Canis lupus familiaris: one gene and its partners. The protein of the gene in region 1 interacts with the protein of each later gene in a pairwise test. Links are inferred from orthologs where the notes say so. Each region holds a gene or a part of one and is shown in the gene's direction. Other genes may lie near its edges.

Region 1 (5,658 bases):
TTTCTGAGGTGTCTTACCCACCCAAGGAGACTGTGCTTCAGCGCACTGTCCTCCATGCCTTCAGCAGCCCCCCTCACAGCTAAGGTACACCCTCATCCCTTCTGACCCCACCACCACCCCTGGCACAGAGGTCATGTGCTGCTTATGTCTAGAGAATCCCCTATATTTAACTGCCTCAGTGACCTAACCTCTTTCTTCTCATGTGCCAGATGTTAAGATGAAGGAGGAATACAACACATACTCAAGCCTCAGCTGTTTAAATATATTTTCACTGGGGCTCTCTTTTTTTTCGAACGGTATTTATTACCAGACTGGCAAGCCTAACTCCTTAGGTTTACAGGAAGTATGCACATTTTTATAAAACAATTGTATGTCCTCCCCATATTTCGCTGTGTTAATGTTTGCCTCTAACAATTTGCAGCTGTTTCACCTTTTCCTCATTTGTCTTTAAGTTGAAGGTCTTGTGTGGAGGGGACAGCACAGGAACAGCCTTGACAGTCTGTAATTATTGTACAAATATTTTAATAGCATATAAATAAGTATATTCCTTTTATTTTGGAAAAAAAAAACATGATCAGACACTGCCTTTTGTGTGTTTGCTGCCTGTGGCACCCTTTTTTAAAAAGACTGTTACATATTAAAATAGTGTATATATATATATATATATATAAATATTACCTCTTTTGCTGTACAGTTGTGATAGACCAGACTGAAGATTTTATTTTTTGTGTGCTTTTTATAAAAAAGAAAAAATAACACACTAAAGTAAATCTTGCGGATGTGATTGTAATGTACCTATGTAACTTATTTACTTTTGAATGTTCTTCTGTATCTTTAAACCTTTTATTAAATAAGGTTTTAAAAATTCAGAGTTGAATGCTGTGTTCTTTTGGGGAAGATTTTCACCATCTGGGATTGACGTTAAGTAGGCCCTGTTTTGCTTGCAGGGGGTTGCTTGACATTTTTGAACCACAAGGAGGATTCTCTTTTGTCAGCTCTTTCTCGATACCAGGACAGGAAAAATAACACACTAGCGTTTTGCCTGGCTACGGATTATTGACTAGATACGGGTTTTTTTTTTTTTTTTTTACAAAACTTTAGACAAGAAAAAGTCTCAACTCAGTGTCTCACACAAAAATATGAACACGGCACGCTTCCAACGTGTTAGTTTGAGGGGATGTATGGAGGGTGCAGAATGCAATCAGGTGGGACAGGGAAGCTGCGGTGCTAAAGACCGTATTTTCCTACCCAGCGGAAGACCAGTGACGGAGGCATTTGCAGCCTTAACTCCACTCCAGAATTATATTATCTTTTAAACAAGGTGCTTTGTTAAAAAAAAAAAAAAAAATTTTTTTTAAGGGCACCTGGGTGGCTCAGTGTTTGACCTCCTGCCTTTGGCTCAGGTCAGGATCCTGGGGTCCTGGGATAGAGCCCCGCATGGGGCTCCCTGCAGGGAACCTGCTTCTCCCTCCGCCTCTGTCTCTGCCCACCCCTCATGAATAAATAAAATCTTTTTTAAAAAATGAAATAAAGGGCAGCCCGGGTGGCTCAGCGGTTTGGCGCCTGCCTTCGGCCCAGGGTGTGCTCCTCGAGTGCCAGGATTGAGTCCCGCGTCGGGCTCCCTGCGTGGAGCCTGCTTCTCCCTCTGCCTGTGTCACTGCCTCTCTTTCTGTGTCTCTCACGAATAAATAAAATCTTTTTTAAGAAATGAAATAAAAACTGGAAAATGTGAAAAAGGAAATGCGCCACCAAAGAGAGCAGTGTCCGGAGCGTCAGGCCAGCGCCTCTGCAACCGCCCCACCCCGCCCCCAGCCCCAACCCCGGGAGCGCGCGGAGCGGGCGGGAGTCCGGGCCGCCGTTGCCATGGCTACGCTCGGGGGCGGGGCGCGGAGGAAGCGGCTCCGCAGCCGGCCCCGCCCCGCACTGCGGCAGTAACGCCTCCGCGGGCTGCGGTGGGACCCCGGCGGCCCCGCTGCGCCACACCGCCGCAGCCCGCCGCAGCCTGCGCGCCGCCGCCGCCTGTGGCCCCGCTTCCCCGTCCTTCGGCGCCTCCGCCGCCCGTGTGCTCGGTCCTCAGCCGCCCTCACCGCCCGGAGCCATCCCTGCGTCTGCAAAGAAGCCGCTGGCGGGCTGGCGTGGCAGCCACCGCCGCGACCTCAGAACAGGCTCTGCCTCCGGGGACCGCACAGCCCTCGTCTGCAGAGCAGCCGCTCCTCGGCCGACTGGAGGCCGGGCTCCGGCCGCGGACGCCGGGATCGCCTCCGAGGGGAGCCCCGAGTGCCGGCGCCCGGCTGCCGGGAGGAGGCGGCCACGCCCCGCGACCACACCCGGGCGCCTCCGGCCCCGCGGCGCAGCCCTCGCCAGCCGCGCTCGCTGCCCGCCTCCTGCGCTGCGACGGGACGCGACCCCCGGCTGCAGGTGGGGGACCCGGGCCGCGGGCCCCGACTGAGGACGCCGGTGGCGGCGGACGCGTGAGGCGACTGCCCGAGCCTCCCGGGGCTTGGCTCCGGGGACCAGCCGGCGGACTGCCTTTGGGGGCCGCGAAGGAAGAGGGCAGGACTCTGGTGTCGTTTGTTAATTGTGATTGCGTCAAGCTTGCCTCCCTCGCGCCTACGGGGGTGGGGGGGTGTCTGCTGCCGCGCTGAGCCCTAGAGCGCAGGGAGCCACAGCCTAATCCGTCTTTGTAGAATCGGGGCCCTCGCTAGTTGGGGAAATGGCGATGACGCTGTTGGAAGACTGGTGCCGGGGGATGGATGTGAACTCCCAGAGAGCCCTGCTGGTCTGGGGGATCCCAGTGAACTGTGATGAGGCTGAAATCGAGGAGACCCTCCAGGCTGCGATGCCCCAGGTGCCCTATCGAGTGCTTGGGAGGATGTTTTGGAGGGAAGAGAATGCGAAAGCAGCCTTGTTAGAGCTCACTGGCGCTGTCGATTACGCCGCGATCCCCAGGGAGATGCCGGGTAAAGGAGGTGTCTGGAAAGTGGTCTTTAAACCCCCGACTTCCGATGCTGAATTTTTAGAAAGGTTGCACCTCTTCCTAGCGAGAGAGGGGTGGACCGTGCAAGATGTTGCCCGCGTCCTTGGGTTTCAGAACCCCACTCCGGCCCCGGGTCCAGATATGCCAGCAGAGATGCTAAACTATATTTTAGATAACGTTATTCAGCCTCTTGTTGAGTCCATATGGTACAAGAAGTTGACGCTGTTCTCGGGGAGGGACATCCCGGGGCCTGGGGAGGAGACCTTTGATCCCTGGCTGGAACACACTAATGAGGTCATAGAGGAGTGGCAGGTGTCTGATGTAGAAAAGAGGCGGCGGTTGATGGAGAGTCTTCGGGGCCCCGCCGCTGATGTCATCCGCATCCTCAAGACGAACAACCCTGCGATAACCACTGCCGAATGCCTGAAGGCGCTTGAGCAGGTGTTTGGGAGCGTCGAGAGCTCTAGGGATGCGCAGGTCAGATTTCTGAACACTTACCAGAACCCGGGAGAAAAGTTATCTGCGTATGTCATTCGTCTGGAGCCTCTTCTGCAGAAGGTGGTGGAGAAGGGGGCCATAGATAAAGATAACGTGAACCAGGCCCGCCTGGAGCAGGTCATTGCCGGGGCCAACCACAGCGGGGCCATCCGGAGGCAGCTGTGGCTGACCGGGGCCGCGGAAGGGCCTGCCCCTAACCTCTTCCAGTTGCTGGTGCAGATCCGCGAGGAGGAGGCCAAGGAGGAGGAGGAGGAGGCGGAGGCCGCCCTCCTGCAGTTAGGCTTGGAGGGGCACTTCTGAGGCCCAGGAAACGGCGACAGTGCACATCTAGATCGCAGCCGCTTACCTTGTCTCCGTGCTCTTACAGATGTGTCCCTAGTGGTAAAGACTTCCGCCATGTGCTGTTTTGGGGGTGGGGGTAGGGAGTCAGGCCTGAGTATTCATGTAACATTAGTACAATCGCGCAAATGAGCACCCTGAGCTGCTACAAGTGAGTCGTACTCGCTGCAATGCCAGGTAAAGACTTGTACACAAGTGCTCAGTGCCAGCTGTCATTGTGGCAATCATCCGTTGTAAAAACCATGTGAATCCCTGACACTTCTCATTGAGATAATTGTGAAATTGCATGTTCAGATGTTTTAGCGTGGGGCCTGGCAAACACAGGAAGTGTTCGGTAAAAATATGAGCCGTTGTTACTAATATTGTGAATAGTTTTTGTGTTTACAGTAAATTGTTCCTAAGTTTTTTCCCTAATTTATATTAATGGAAAGAAATGTGACTCATACTATTTATTCAGCCTTACAAAGCAAATTGTTTTATTTTTCATCTCGAAACATCTGGATCACTTTAATTGAAAAGTATTCTGAGACTATGGAATGGGATGTTAGAAAAATACTGCAATTCTAGAATTGTGTGAATCAATTTTTCTGTGTACAAGACACAGGGAGTGTCTTGTTGCATGGGGAGATTAATAAGAACCAGTTACAGTATCTATTCCCCCATTTCAAATCCTTGTCATTGAATGGTAGTTCTTGTTCATGCTGATTCTAAGTGTTCTAAATTTGAAGTTGTCAAAATACATGTATATGAATAAAAGTATTTAAAAAATTCTATTGTCTTTTTTTTCTGACACATATATAAAATTTCAGTGTAATTAAGCTCTATATTTATTCTCTTAGGAAGATTTCCTGGTGTCACTTAAAAAAAATATAACTTCAGTTACTGTATCTTTAACCTTATAGCATACTATTTGAGTTTGAATTACAGAACCTTTCAATGTATTCAATTTTTGCATGTTTTCTACAAGGCAAATATTAGAAGGCTGAACAGACCTAAGTCAATATTAACTTACTATAAAAAGTTAGGAAATCCTGAAATGGGGCTCAGGATGTTATCTAGTAATGCTTTTTCTCCCCTTTCAAATCCCTTTTCAGGGATCCCTGGGTGGCGCAGCGGTTTGGCGCCTGCCTTTGGCCCAGGGCGGGATCCTGGAGACCCGGGATCGAATCCCACGTCGGGCTCCTGGTGCATGGAGCCTGCTTCTCCCTCTGCCTGTGTCTCTGCCTCTCTCTATCTCTCTCTCTGTGACTATCATAAAAAAAATAAAAACCTGGATTATTTTTTAAAAAATCCCTTTTCAGCTAAAAATGTTTGTTTTACTACAGGAATAATTTCTCATACCTGTTTAAAATGAATGTTTCTGATTTATAGCAGCCATTTTATTTTTTTTTTGTCAAAATTCATTTTTATTAATAGAAAATACTTATTCCAGTTTCAGTTGTTATACTTGAAGTTGCTAATAAAAAAAAAAGAATTTAAAATAATCATCCTGTTTCGACTAAGACAATGAAGCTGTAGCTTAAAAAAAATTCACGATTTTGGGATCCCTGGGTGGCGCAGCGGTTTCGCGCCTGCCTTTGGTCCAGGGCGCGATCCTGGAGACGCGGGATCGAATCCCACGTCGGGCTCCCAGTGCATGGAGCCTGCTTCTCCCTCTGCCTGTGTCTCTGTGACTCTCTCTCTCTCTCTGTGACTATCATAAATTTAAAAAAAAAAAAAAATTCACGATTTGCTCATAAAGGTCTTTCAGAATTTGTTCTTAAAGTTTCTGGAACTTTCCTGTCAAGTACAGGAGTTACTGAGCTACATGAGGAAGTCTCTCTGAGACAACCAATGAGAAGTTA
Region 2 (5,640 bases), on another chromosome or scaffold:
GGTGGGGTGCCTGGGTGGCTCAGTGATTGAGCATCTGCCTTTGGCTCAGGTCGTGGTCCTGGGGCCCTGGAATTGAGTCCCACATGGGGCTCTGCACAGGGAGCCTGCTTCTTCCTCTGCTGATATCTCTGTGTCTCTCATAAATGAATAAATAAAATTACATATGGCAACATATGGCATTTGCCCTTTATTGGTAACTGTGCTGGGTTGTAAGTAGCCCATTGGTGAGTTAGTGCCTACGGATATTTTGAGCTGCGTCACCTGATGGGCCTGTGTTCAGCTAAGTGGACGCTGTGGGGCCTTTCTACAATCGATCGCTCAAGTCTGTTTGCCCAAAAGCAGCCTCTTCCCCAAGGGAGAGAAAATAAAACACCTCTGCCATAGTGAAAAACATACTTGATTACAGACTGTAGGGGAAAAGAAGGAATGGGTCAGGAGTTAGGAGGACTGGAGGAGAAACCTGGGCCTCTGTGAAATTCCAGATGCCTGCCTCTGTCATAGTTGGGCTCCATTGTCAATGCTTCAATGGTAAACAATGGTACCTCCATTAACAGTCATGCTTATTACGCTTCAAGTTGTATTTAACTGTTGACTAAACCATAAACTCTTTGAGGCAAGGACTGTGCCTGCCCCCAGGAAGGTCCACCCACAGGAGCTCATCAAAGGCCTCTTGCTACTAACAGGCTCAACCCAATGAGGTGGGAGGAAAATGAGGCCCAGGGAGAGCGTATGAAACCTGATGTACTAGGTTGAATAAGTGTCCCCCAAAGATTTATGTCTGCCCAGAACCTTGGAATGTGACCTTATTTGGAAACAAGCTCTTTGCATGTCACTAGTTAAGATCTTAGATTAAGGTGGGTATTAAATTCAACAAGACTGGTGTCTTTTGTTTCTTTTTAAAGATTTTTATTTATTCATGAGAGACACACAGGAGACACAGGCTCCCTGTGGGGAGCCTGATGCAGGACTCCAACCCAGGACCCCAGAATCACAACCTGAGCCAAAGGCAGATGCTCAACCACTGAGCCACCCAGGTGCCCCAAGACTGGTGTGTGTTTGTTTATTTATAATATTTATTCAAGAGAGACGGGGGGCGGGGGGGGGGGGGGCAGGCTCCATGCAGGGAGCCTGACGTGGGACTCGATCCTGGGTCTCCAGGATCACACCCCGGGCTGAAGGAGGCCCTCAACCCTGAGCCACCCGGGGCTGCCCAAGACTGGTGTCTTTTAAAGAAAGGCTATGTGCACACATGTTCGCGGGCACACATATGAAGAGGGTGGGTCCTCTAGGGAGAGAGCAGAACTTGTGAGTGATGCAGCTGCAAACCAAGGGACTCCAAGGATTGCTGACCACCACCCAGAGCCCGGAAGAGCAAGAGGGGATTCTTCCTTAGAGCCATTGGAACATGGCCCAGTCACATCTTCATTCCCTACTTCTGGCCTCCACAACTGTGGGGAAACACCCCCACCCCCAGCGCAAAGATCTACATGCCTAGGGTCACTCAGGACTCGGCACCGGTTCTGACCCAAGTGTTCCCCACTGATTTTTACTAGTGCGTGGCTGAGCGCAGCAAGAGGACAACAAAACAAACGAAAAAAATAAAAAAAGAAAGAAACAAAAAGACACGGGACGTCAGATACTGCAAAGAGCTATGGGGAGAAATACAAGATAAGACGCAAGTTTAGGGGAGGAGGAGATGTGGTTTTCCGCACGGTGGTCCCACGAGTGGACACTTGCAGGCATGGGGACGCGAATGCCAAGGCCCGGAGGCAAGAGAGTGCCGGGCCGGCAGGGGGACATTGTGGCTGGAAAGTAGCAGGCAGAGAGCAGACGAGGGAGAGCCCGGGCCCGAGAGGACGCTGCGGCTGACGTAGTGCTCCTGGGCTCAACCCGCATCCCTAACAGGGCCCCAGAGAACAGCGCCGCACCCAACATGGCGGCCCCCCCGGGGCACGCCGGTTGGCGGGCGGAAGTACGTAGCGGCAGGCGCCGGAAGTGGCAGGAGGCCGAGGCCCCCGCCCCCTACCGGGGTCTCTGTGGAGCCGCGGACGCGCCGGCTTTGAGCATCCCTGGCGGGCCAGGGGAGGCCCTGGGGCTGCGGCTCTGGCAGCCGCGGCCCCGCCCGCTTTCACCATGGCCAGCTCCGAGGAGGTACGGCCGGCGCCTCTCTCCGCTCTCCTTCCTGCCCCGCGGCTTTGGCTCCGCTCGGGCCTTCCCATCCCGCCCCGGTCCCTTTTGCGTCCTTTCCATCCGGCCCGCTAACCCGCTCCATCCTTCCTGTCCCGACCGCAGCCTGGCTCTATGCTTCCCATCCTGACCTCGACCCCCCACCGCAGCCGCCTTGGCCCTGTCCACTCCAACCCTGGCGTTGGCCAGGTTTGGTCCTTCCTGCTCCGACCCTGGCCTCGGCCTCGCTGGGTCCTTCGCATCCCTATCCTGGCCCCGCCCCGCCCCCTAGGTCCTCATCCTGTTGCGAAGGCTCAAGTTCTCTCCCCCCTTGGGTTTTCCGTCCCTTTGCCAGCCCGCAGGCGTGATCGCCAGGGTTCTTCCCCCGCTTCTGCGCCCCCAGAGTTTCCAGTCTCCCGTAGACCTCTCAGGCCCCTTTCTCACGCCCCCTGTACCTGGGTTCAGCCCTTGGACCTATGGGACCTCCGTCTTCCATGCCCACTCAGTACCCCATCCTCTATCTCTGAATGCTCAGTTTCAGCCCACTTTCCTCTGGTTGTGTGACTGGGGAGGGTAATGGAGGAAAAGCCATTTCACCTGGGGAACTTCTGGTTTACCCTGGAATTCCTTTCCTCGGTGCTCTGCAAGTCTGGGTCCGAGTCCCTGTGATGTGGTGCAAGGTATTTTATCTGCAGACCAGGGTATGGGGGGCCCGGACTCTGACCCGTGTCTTTGCATTTGTTGCTTACTGCCTATCTTTGTGTACTTGTGTGCACCTGTGTGTGTGTTTAGCATCTGGGCCTTGGACCCTGGAGTGCATTTCCTGTCTTAGGGGCTCACCTGTGCTATGGGGAAGGGGAATCAGAGGTTCCAGTGTTTCCTTCGAAATGGATGTGGCCAGGATTGCAGATAGTTCCTCTTCATTTGAAGTGAGTTTGGCTTAGAAGTGGCCCCTTGATTGAGAGGGAGGATGTGGGACACACCTGCAGACGGTGGTAGGATTGAAGGGTAGGAAAGCTGAGGCTCTTCAAGGAATAGTTATGGGGCAGCCTGACTGTGTTAGCAGATTCCAGGTAATCGTGTGTACTTGTAGGAGCTGGGGCACTGGTTCCTTGCTCTTAGGGGGTCCTGGTACAAAGGGCTCTCTGTTCCTTGAAGCATATGTGAGTGACCTGGCTAGAGGCCTCTTGTTCCTTCATGGGCACCTCATTCTACCCTGGATGTGGAGATCAAGGACCCTTCTGGATTGTTCTGTTTTCTATTTATTGGTGTATAGTTTGCACACCATAAAGTTCAGTTTTTTAAAAAATATTTTATTTATTTATTCATGAGAGACACAGAGAGAGAGAGAGAGAGAGAGAGAGAGAGAGAGGCAGAGACACACAGGCAGAGGGAGAAGCAGGCTCCATGCACGGAGCCCGATGTGGGACTCGATCCCGGGTCTCCAGGATCACACCCTGGGCTGCAGGTGGTGCCAAACCGCTGCGCCACCGGGGCTGCCCCCATAAAGTTCAGTTTTAAAGTGTGTGTTTATTTTTTTATTTTTAAAGATTTTTTTAAAAATTTATTTATTCATGAGAGACACACACGAGAGAGAGAAAGAGGGGCAGAGACACAGGTAGAGGGAGAAGCAGGCTCCAAGCAGGGAGCCTGACATGGGACTCGATCCCAGGTCTCCAGGATCATGCCCCGGGCTGAAGACAGCGCTAAACCGCTGAGCCACCTGGGCTGCCCTAAAGTGTGTGTTTAAAGTAAATTTTATGCCTAACGTGGGGCTTGAACTCACAACCCTGAGATCAAGCGTTGCATGCTCCACGGACTAGATGCCCCAAAGTGTTTTTATTTTTTACTTTTTATTTTTAAAAAAGATTTTATATATTTATTTATGAGAGACACAGAGAGACAGGCACAGATATAGGTAGAGGAAGAAGCAGGCTCCTTGTGGGGAGCGTGATGTGGAACTTGATCCTGGGATCACGACCTGAGCCAAAGGCAGATGCTCAATCACTGAACCACCCATATGTCACCCCAAAGTGGTTTTAAAAAATACATTCACAAGGCTGTGCAACTGTCTCCACTATAGGATTCCAGAATGAGGTGGTTTGATTTTGAAAGTCATTACTGACTTTATTTATTTTAAAGATTTTATGTATTTATTCATGACAGACACAGAAAGAGGCAGAGACACAGGCAGAGGGAGGAGAAGCAGTCTCCATTGCAAAGAGCCTGATGCTGGACTTGATCCTGGGAACCCGGGATCAGGCCCTGAGCCAAAGGCAGACTCTCAACCACTGAGCCACCCAGGCATCTCCATTACTGACTTTAAAATGTAGATACTCGGGCATCCTGGGTGGCTCAGAGGTTTAGTGCCTCTTTCAGCCCAGGGTGTGATCCTGGAGACCCGGGATCGAGTCCCATGTCAGGCTCCCTGCATGGAGCTTGCTTCTTTCTCTGCCTGTGTCTCTGCCTCTCTCTCTCTCTCTCTGTGTCTCTCATGAATAAATAAATAAAATCTTAAAAAAAAAAAAATGTAGATACTCAGGGTTACTCCCGGAGTTTCTGGGAGTGGGGGTCTGCTTTTTTTGTAATGCTTCAAATGATTGTGAAGTGGTGATCTGTTGACTCACCTGGTTCAGTGCTGCTTTCTCTTGGAAATTAAAAAGTGATTCCTGTTTAGCAGCTGTCCTTGGCTTAGTGAGGAGATAAGCAATCAGGCAAACCACGACAGTGACAGTTCATCTGATGAGGTGGGAGTGTAGGACGGTCCTTGGTCCTGCAGCAGAGGGGCTGGATGAAGGTGAGTTAAGCCTGTCTGGCTGATGCTGGGAGGGCTTCACTGTGTTTAAGCCCTTGAGCCAAAGTTCTGAAAGGCCTGGAGGCCTGAGGCAGGGCACATTCCAGAAATGGCCAACTAGAGAAGCCAAAACCTAAGAAGTGGAACAGAATGCAGAGTGCAAACCCACAAAATTGTGCACCTCTTCACACTGACTCTGTGATTTAACAAAGTTTTTATAATGTGAAATATACCGTAGCTAACAATCTTGTATCGTCAAAGTGCCCTGTAAGGAGCCTTTCTGTTGTACCCACTGCCCACTTATTTATTTATTTATTTTAAAAGATTTTATTTATTTATGAGAGAGAGAGAGAGAGGCAGACACACAGAGACACAGGCAGAGGGAGAAGCAGGCTCCATGCTGGGAGCCCGATGTGGGACTGGATCCCAGATCTCCAGGATCAGGCCCTGGGCTGAAGGCGGCGCTAAACTGCTGAGCCACCCTGGCTGCCCAATTGCCCACTTATATAAAAAGATCATTTTTTTTCCTTTTTTTTTTTTTAAAAAGAAATATTTTATTTATTTATTCATGAGAGATACAGAGAGAGAGAGAGAGAGAGAGAGAGAGGCAGAGACACAGGCAGAGAAGCAGGCTCCATGCAGGGAGCCCGACGTGGGACTCGATCCCAGGTCTCCCCCCA
Region 3 (5,688 bases), on another chromosome or scaffold:
TGAGAGACACAGAGAGAGAGGCAGAGACACAGGCAGAGGGAGAAGCAAGCTCCCTGTGGGGAGCCTGATGTGGGACTCGATCCCGGGACTCCGGGATCATGACCTGAGCCAAAGGCAGACGCTAGACCCCTGAGCCACCCAGGTGTCCCTGTGAGCAAGTTTCTTAACCACAAAGATCATTTTTGGGTGGTGGAGGCCAGTCACATACCAAGACTCTTCCCTGAACTCAGAGGCAGGCTGGGGTCTCCGAGCACAGGGGGCTGCCCAGTAGGGCAGGTGGATGGGCTGTGGCACGGCCCCGGGCAGAGCACGGCTCCCACACCCAAAAGTGTGAGGAGGGCGTCAGGGCGCTGGGCCCAGGGAGGCCACGTGGAGGGGAAGGGCTCGGTGGGTGCTCCGCACAGCAGGCCAGGGCGTCCCCTTGAAGCCCTGTGCGGGCACGTGAGCAGGACCGCACGCATGCCCGCCTCCACGCTGTGGCCCCAGACCAACCGGCACGACCCGGGGCCGTGGGCACAGCCCCAGCATGGCGGTCAGAATGGCCGATGAACCAGAGTACAGGGTCTTTGCTAACAGTGGCTGCTGGAGGCTCGCTTCTCTCGGGAACAATACATCCAGAGGTAGGTGTCCGAGGTGGTACAGTGACTCCGAGTCATCCAGGGTCCAGGCTTGCCTTCTTCCTGCGCACATGGCTTCCATCTGCTGGTTCGCCTTGTGGTGTAAGGGGGCTGCGGGAGTGCCAGTTGTCACATCTGCATCAATGCCCAGATGTAGAGGACAGCGCGGGGGCCGTGGTCCTCCCCAGCTCGCTGGCCCCGCAGGAAGGAGCCTTCCCAGGAGCACAGCCCCACAATTTCCTCCCCTATCCCACGATCGCTCCTCGCTTCGAGGCAGACAGGTGTCTCAGAAACGCAAAACAGGAAAAGAACATCAGCCCATCAGCAGGCTGGACGGACATGGGCAGAGAATCTGCCGCCGTGGAGGAGTGAGGAGCGTGTCCCCGGGGCGGGACAGAGGGGCCGTGGCGGCTCAGGGGGTAGGCTGGGGGGCTGGGGCGCCAGGGCAAGGCGGTGCTGGGCAGGGCCCTGGGCTCCCTGGCTCACTTCCTGCAGCAGGGGTGGAGCAGGGCGCCCGGACCCCCAGAGGGGTGAGGCAGGAGGGCGAGGGAGGGGCCCTCATGAGGCAGGGGTGGGGCTGGGGAGGCTGGCAGTCGCAGTGTGTGGGGGGGTGGCGCACCGAGACCTGGACCTGAGGACGGCATGGGGGGCGCAGGGACCCCCACGTGGGGGACAGAGTGGCGTGGGCGCGCAGGGGGCGGCTGCTGCGGGGATGCGTCCAGGGAGGGCGGACCCTGCCGTGCGCCCCACACACGACGCAGGGTCCTTGACACAAAGCCCAAGGCAGCAGCAGGGGGAGGCACCTCCCGTGGCGGGGGCGCATCGAGGCAGGGCGCACAGCCCGGGAGGCCCTTCCCCAGCGGCTGGGCCAGGTCCTAACTGCACCCGTGAGGCTGCGCCTCGCGCTTTAGCCACGTCCACGCACATGTCTGGCGGCTCCAGCCAACATATGGTTTGGGAGAAAAAACCACCGTGGGAAAATCTGCAACAATTTGTGTTCAATAACGTCGCTCCTGGCGTCGTCCCTGACGGCAAAGAAGGAGCGCGGGGCGCGTGGGGTGCAGGCAGGGCCGCAGGCTGGGCCGCAAGATGCCGCGCTCAGGCGCCAACCGGTGCGCAACGCTGCCTGCGACGTGTGGGCCAGTGAGGCCAGGCTGTCCGAAAACACGCTCGCTGTGATTTCCTGTTTGTGAAAATTCACACACGCGTGTCTGGGGAGACGCGCAGTCGCAGCGCCACCGGGAGGATCATGTATGACTTTTTTCTGTATCAGTTTCTCCTTTGTGTTTATCTGTTTCTGGTTTTTTCTAAAATGAAAATATATCTCCTGCGTAATAAGAAATATTCAAGGGGACGGGGAACAAGGCCCAGTTCTCATTTCTGGGGGACGAACCCGGTTGCCATGGAGACTGGGCGGTTGTCAAGGCAGCGATTGGCTGGGGAGGATGCAGGATGTGGGATCCCAGGGCTCCCTCGGAGCGGAGCCGGCGCAGCTGTCAGACCGCAGTGCGGAGCCAAGTGCCAGCATGGACGGGGTGGACGCGTGGGCCAGCACCCTGGCCCAGCTCATGGCCAAGAGGAAGCCCCAGGACACCTGGGAGCTGGTCCCTGAGGAGAACCTGGCCTCCGGGGTCATGGAGAGTGGCGATTTTCAGTATCGGCTGAGGGGGCTCTCCAGGTGCGCTGGGGTGGGGGGCTCCTGGGGGGGCTGGGGGAGGGCTGAGCTGCTTGGTCCCCAAGCCGGGCTGGTGTGGTAGGGCCCTGTGGGCTGGGAAGAGGGGTCCCCCCCCACCTACCCCAGCAGGGAGCCGGGCCGGGTGTTCCCTCCTCTCCAGGAGGTGGGGGCCCCGGGACAACCTCTGTGCAGTCCCCTGGTGCTGGCCACTGCAGTCGGGGTCCTGCGGGGGGGAGCAGAGGCTGGGGGGCGACGATGCCACCCACACGTGAAGTGAAGGGCCTGTTCGCTCACTGCAGCATCTCCTGGTTTCCATGGTAGCACTGCCGGCCAGAGCAGGGGAGGGGCGGCTGCCGGGCTCACACCCCTCCCTGCAGAGGGGCCCAAGGGGCACAGGCCCGGGGTGGAGAGGCTCTGTATGACCTGGGTGGGGGCCAGCAGGGGCCCCGCTCCTCATTGTCATGATGACAGTGGCGGGGATGGGCCAGACCCGCGGGGGCCCCACCCCACCAGGCGTTCCCCCACCCTCCGGGGGCCAGCTGGGAGGGGGTCAGTGGGGGAGGTGGCCCACCGGCAGGTCAGCGCGGGGACTCTCCGGCAGCCACCCTGTGACATGGGCCCCTCAGCTCCCCGTGGCGGGGGGTGGGTGAGTGAGCAGCCCGGGGTGTGTGTGGAAGCGCCCCAAATCACGGGATGGCTCCCACCGCCCAGCAGGAGAGAACACCGCCTTCAGTGGCCGGGGCAGGGCTCTCTGCTGTCCTGCAGCTGGACACGGTGGAGGGGGGCACAAGGCACAACAGCCACGGGGCCTCCGGGAGCCTGATCACATCGAAATGCGGTTGACAGGTCAGCTCCCGGGCACCTGTGGCTGCCGCAGAGGCGGGGCCTGCCCGACGTTGCCACCCTCACCACCGCAGAAAGCTCCAGGGGAGGGCGCCGCTGGGGGACGCCCGGAGTGTGGTCGCCGGGCCCTGACCTTGGGGGCTTGGAGACGGGCCCACCTGCCCGGCCCTGGGGCACACGGCCTGGGGTGAGCGGCTCTCCCGCTCCCACGTTTGCAGCTGGGGCCGCCCCGTCAAAGGAGCTCACCGGTCCCAGCCCACCCCAGCTCTCCTGAGAGCCCCCTGCCCCCTTTACGTCAGCTTCTCTCCCTGGGGATGGAGCTCTTCCTCCCGGGACCTCCCCCGCCCCGTGAGTCCGCACAGCTTAGCCATGTGGACCCTGCCCCCCCCCACCGGCTGCCTTTGAGTCTTGGTGACGTGTCCGCAGGGCAGTGAAGCCTGGGTCACAGAGCTGATAAGCAGCAGGTGCAGCGACGCCCCCCCCCCCCACAGGTGTCAGGCCGGGCTGGGCCCTTGCGTGGGGTTTGGGTGCCAATCGGACAAAAAGGAATTTGCTTTTCAGCCTTTCAGATGATGCGCGGCGGGCAGGGGTGTCAGGGTTCGGAGCCCCCGAGGGGCCGGCTGAGCGGGGGGCCGCCGCCACCCTCCACTCACTGCCGCCCTTCTTGCCCGCAGGCTGCAGTGTGGCCGCTGCCAGTGGGGCTGGTCCTCGGCACACGTGCACATCCTCTTCCACATGTGCCTGGACGAGGACAGCCGGCTGGGGCTGGTGAAGATGCGCATCTGGGGCCAGCGGTGCCGCCTGTGCCCGCCGGGCATCCGGGCCGACTGCCAGGTGAGCCTCCTGAATATCCGGCTCTTCCTCAACAAGCTGGTCCTGTTCATCCTGCAGAAGTGCTACGGGGAGAGCCTCAGCGCAGACCAGTGCCCTGAGATCTGCTTCGGCGAGCGCTGCGAGGCCTGCGACCTGGGGGTCTGCTTCTTCCAGAAGCCCCCAGACCCGGCCTGGGGGCCCGAGGTCAAGAGCCCCACTACCATTAAGGGCCGGTACACCTTGTACGGGGGCGGCAGCGCCGATGCCTTGGAGGCCGGCAAGCAGCTGCTCACCTTGGGCAGCGGGCCCGTGGTTGACCGCTCCCGGGGCTACACCCCCAACTCCATCACCATCCCCCTCTCCGTGTCCGACTTCATCAGGAACCCGATTTCTGAGAGCAGCAACTTCTTCAGGCAAGATGATGAGATCGTCACCGTCCCCTTCTCCCTTGTGCACGTGGGAAGGGACAAGGGCCGGGTGACTCCGGGGCAGGGCTCTCGCCCCGCAGTGGACCCCTGTGAGTCGCTGGTCATCGCCAAGGGCTGCATGTCCTTGCCGGCCAGTTCCTCAGCTGCGTCCAAGGCCAGAGGCCTCCTGGTAAACATCCGGTGCCCCATCTTCCACGGCAGAGGGCTGCTCATCAGCAGCATCAAGCCCTTCCAGCTCAAGGGCTTCATCTTCAAGGGCCAAGGCTCCATCACCAGCCCCTCCGACAGTGACGAGGACACCGCCTCTGAGAGCGCCGACAGCAACCCGCAGCCTGTGTCCTATATCATCGGGCTCACGGATGACGGAGAGGGCTCTGTCACCTTCCCCTCGTCTCTGGCCGACATGATCCGAGACAAGGACTTCCCCGACATCAACGGCTCCGTCACCTTCCCCTTCATCTTCACTGGTGAAGACAAAAGCACCCAAGACCTAGAGAAAGAGGGTGGCGGCAATGGCCCTGCTGCGGCTGGCGGGCAACCCCTTCCGGGGACCCGCACCCGTAGGCCCGTCACCATCAGCGAGGGCTCTGTCACCATCCCCTTCTCGGTCTTCGACATCATCAGATGCAAGGGCTCCGGCTCGGTTGCCAGCGGCCGCCAGAGCAGCGGCCTGGCCCCCCATGGCTACAAGAAGAGGAGGACGCCGAGGGCCCGGCTCAGCAGGTCTGGCTCCCAGCCCAGCTGGGAGGAGGACTTGTGCTGCGACGACGGCTGCTGCGCGCCGCGCTTCGACCCCTATGAGGAGGTGTGGATCTGGGTGTCCATGACCGTGTGCATCCTCTGGATCATGTACCTGTACAAGTTCAGCCCTTGACAGCCCGCGCGAAGCCTGACGCCCCCTGCGGGTCCCTGCTGCACCCCTCCAGCAGGGCTGCCCAGGCCGCGGAGAGTGGACCCCCCCACCCCTGCCCGCACCCCGGGACCCCCGGCACCCCTGCCCGCCCGAGGGTGGGCCTCAGCCTTCCCCTCCATCTCCTGCTTCTGTGTGTGTTGTCTCTTGGTGTGAGTTGTGGCGTCTTGGATGTTCACTCCGTGATTATCCGCCAAGCTGCCCGCCCGTGTGCCCGGTGCCGGTCTGTATGAGTGTTACAATCCTAATAAAATAAAAGTTCAAAGGAAAACAAATCACAGTGTGTTTGGGCTGTGTGGACGCCAGCACCCTGGAGAAGGTTCAGAGGTGGGAGGGAGTGGAGGGCGGGTCACTGTCCCCATCGGTCCCCGTGGGGCGGGTTGCACACACGTCTTCCCCTGG

What was found. The genes of interacting proteins can lie anywhere in the genome.
Region 2: the proteins of PNMA1 (region 1) and FBXL18 interact in a two-hybrid assay, tested with the Homo sapiens proteins (2 studies listed by BioGRID). The two-hybrid records come from large-scale screens. The link is inferred for Canis lupus familiaris from reciprocal best matches to the Homo sapiens genes PNMA1 and FBXL18.
Region 3: the proteins of PNMA1 (region 1) and RTP5 interact in binary tests that used the Homo sapiens proteins (3 or more experiments, as listed by UniProt). The two-hybrid records come from large-scale screens. The link is inferred for Canis lupus familiaris from reciprocal best matches to the Homo sapiens genes PNMA1 and RTP5.

Annotation. Positions count from the first base shown.
Region 1 is NC_049229.1:47,275,862-47,281,519, reverse strand, and holds PNMA1 (paraneoplastic antigen Ma1), read left to right. Parts: upstream 1-2,459; 5' UTR 2,460-2,713; coding exon 2,714-3,775; 3' UTR 3,776-4,585; downstream 4,586-5,658.
Region 2 is NC_049227.1:12,590,824-12,596,463, forward strand, and holds the start of FBXL18 (F-box/LRR-repeat protein 18), read left to right. Parts: upstream 1-2,001; 5' UTR 2,002-2,133; coding exon 2,134-2,151; intron 2,152-5,640. UniProt on the Homo sapiens protein: Substrate-recognition component of the SCF (SKP1-CUL1-F-box protein)-type E3 ubiquitin ligase complex.
Region 3 is NC_049246.1:51,690,684-51,696,371, forward strand, and holds RTP5 (receptor-transporting protein 5), read left to right. Parts: upstream 1-2,049; 5' UTR 2,050-2,062; coding exon 2,063-2,295; intron 2,296-3,809; coding exon 3,810-5,250; 3' UTR 5,251-5,548; downstream 5,549-5,688.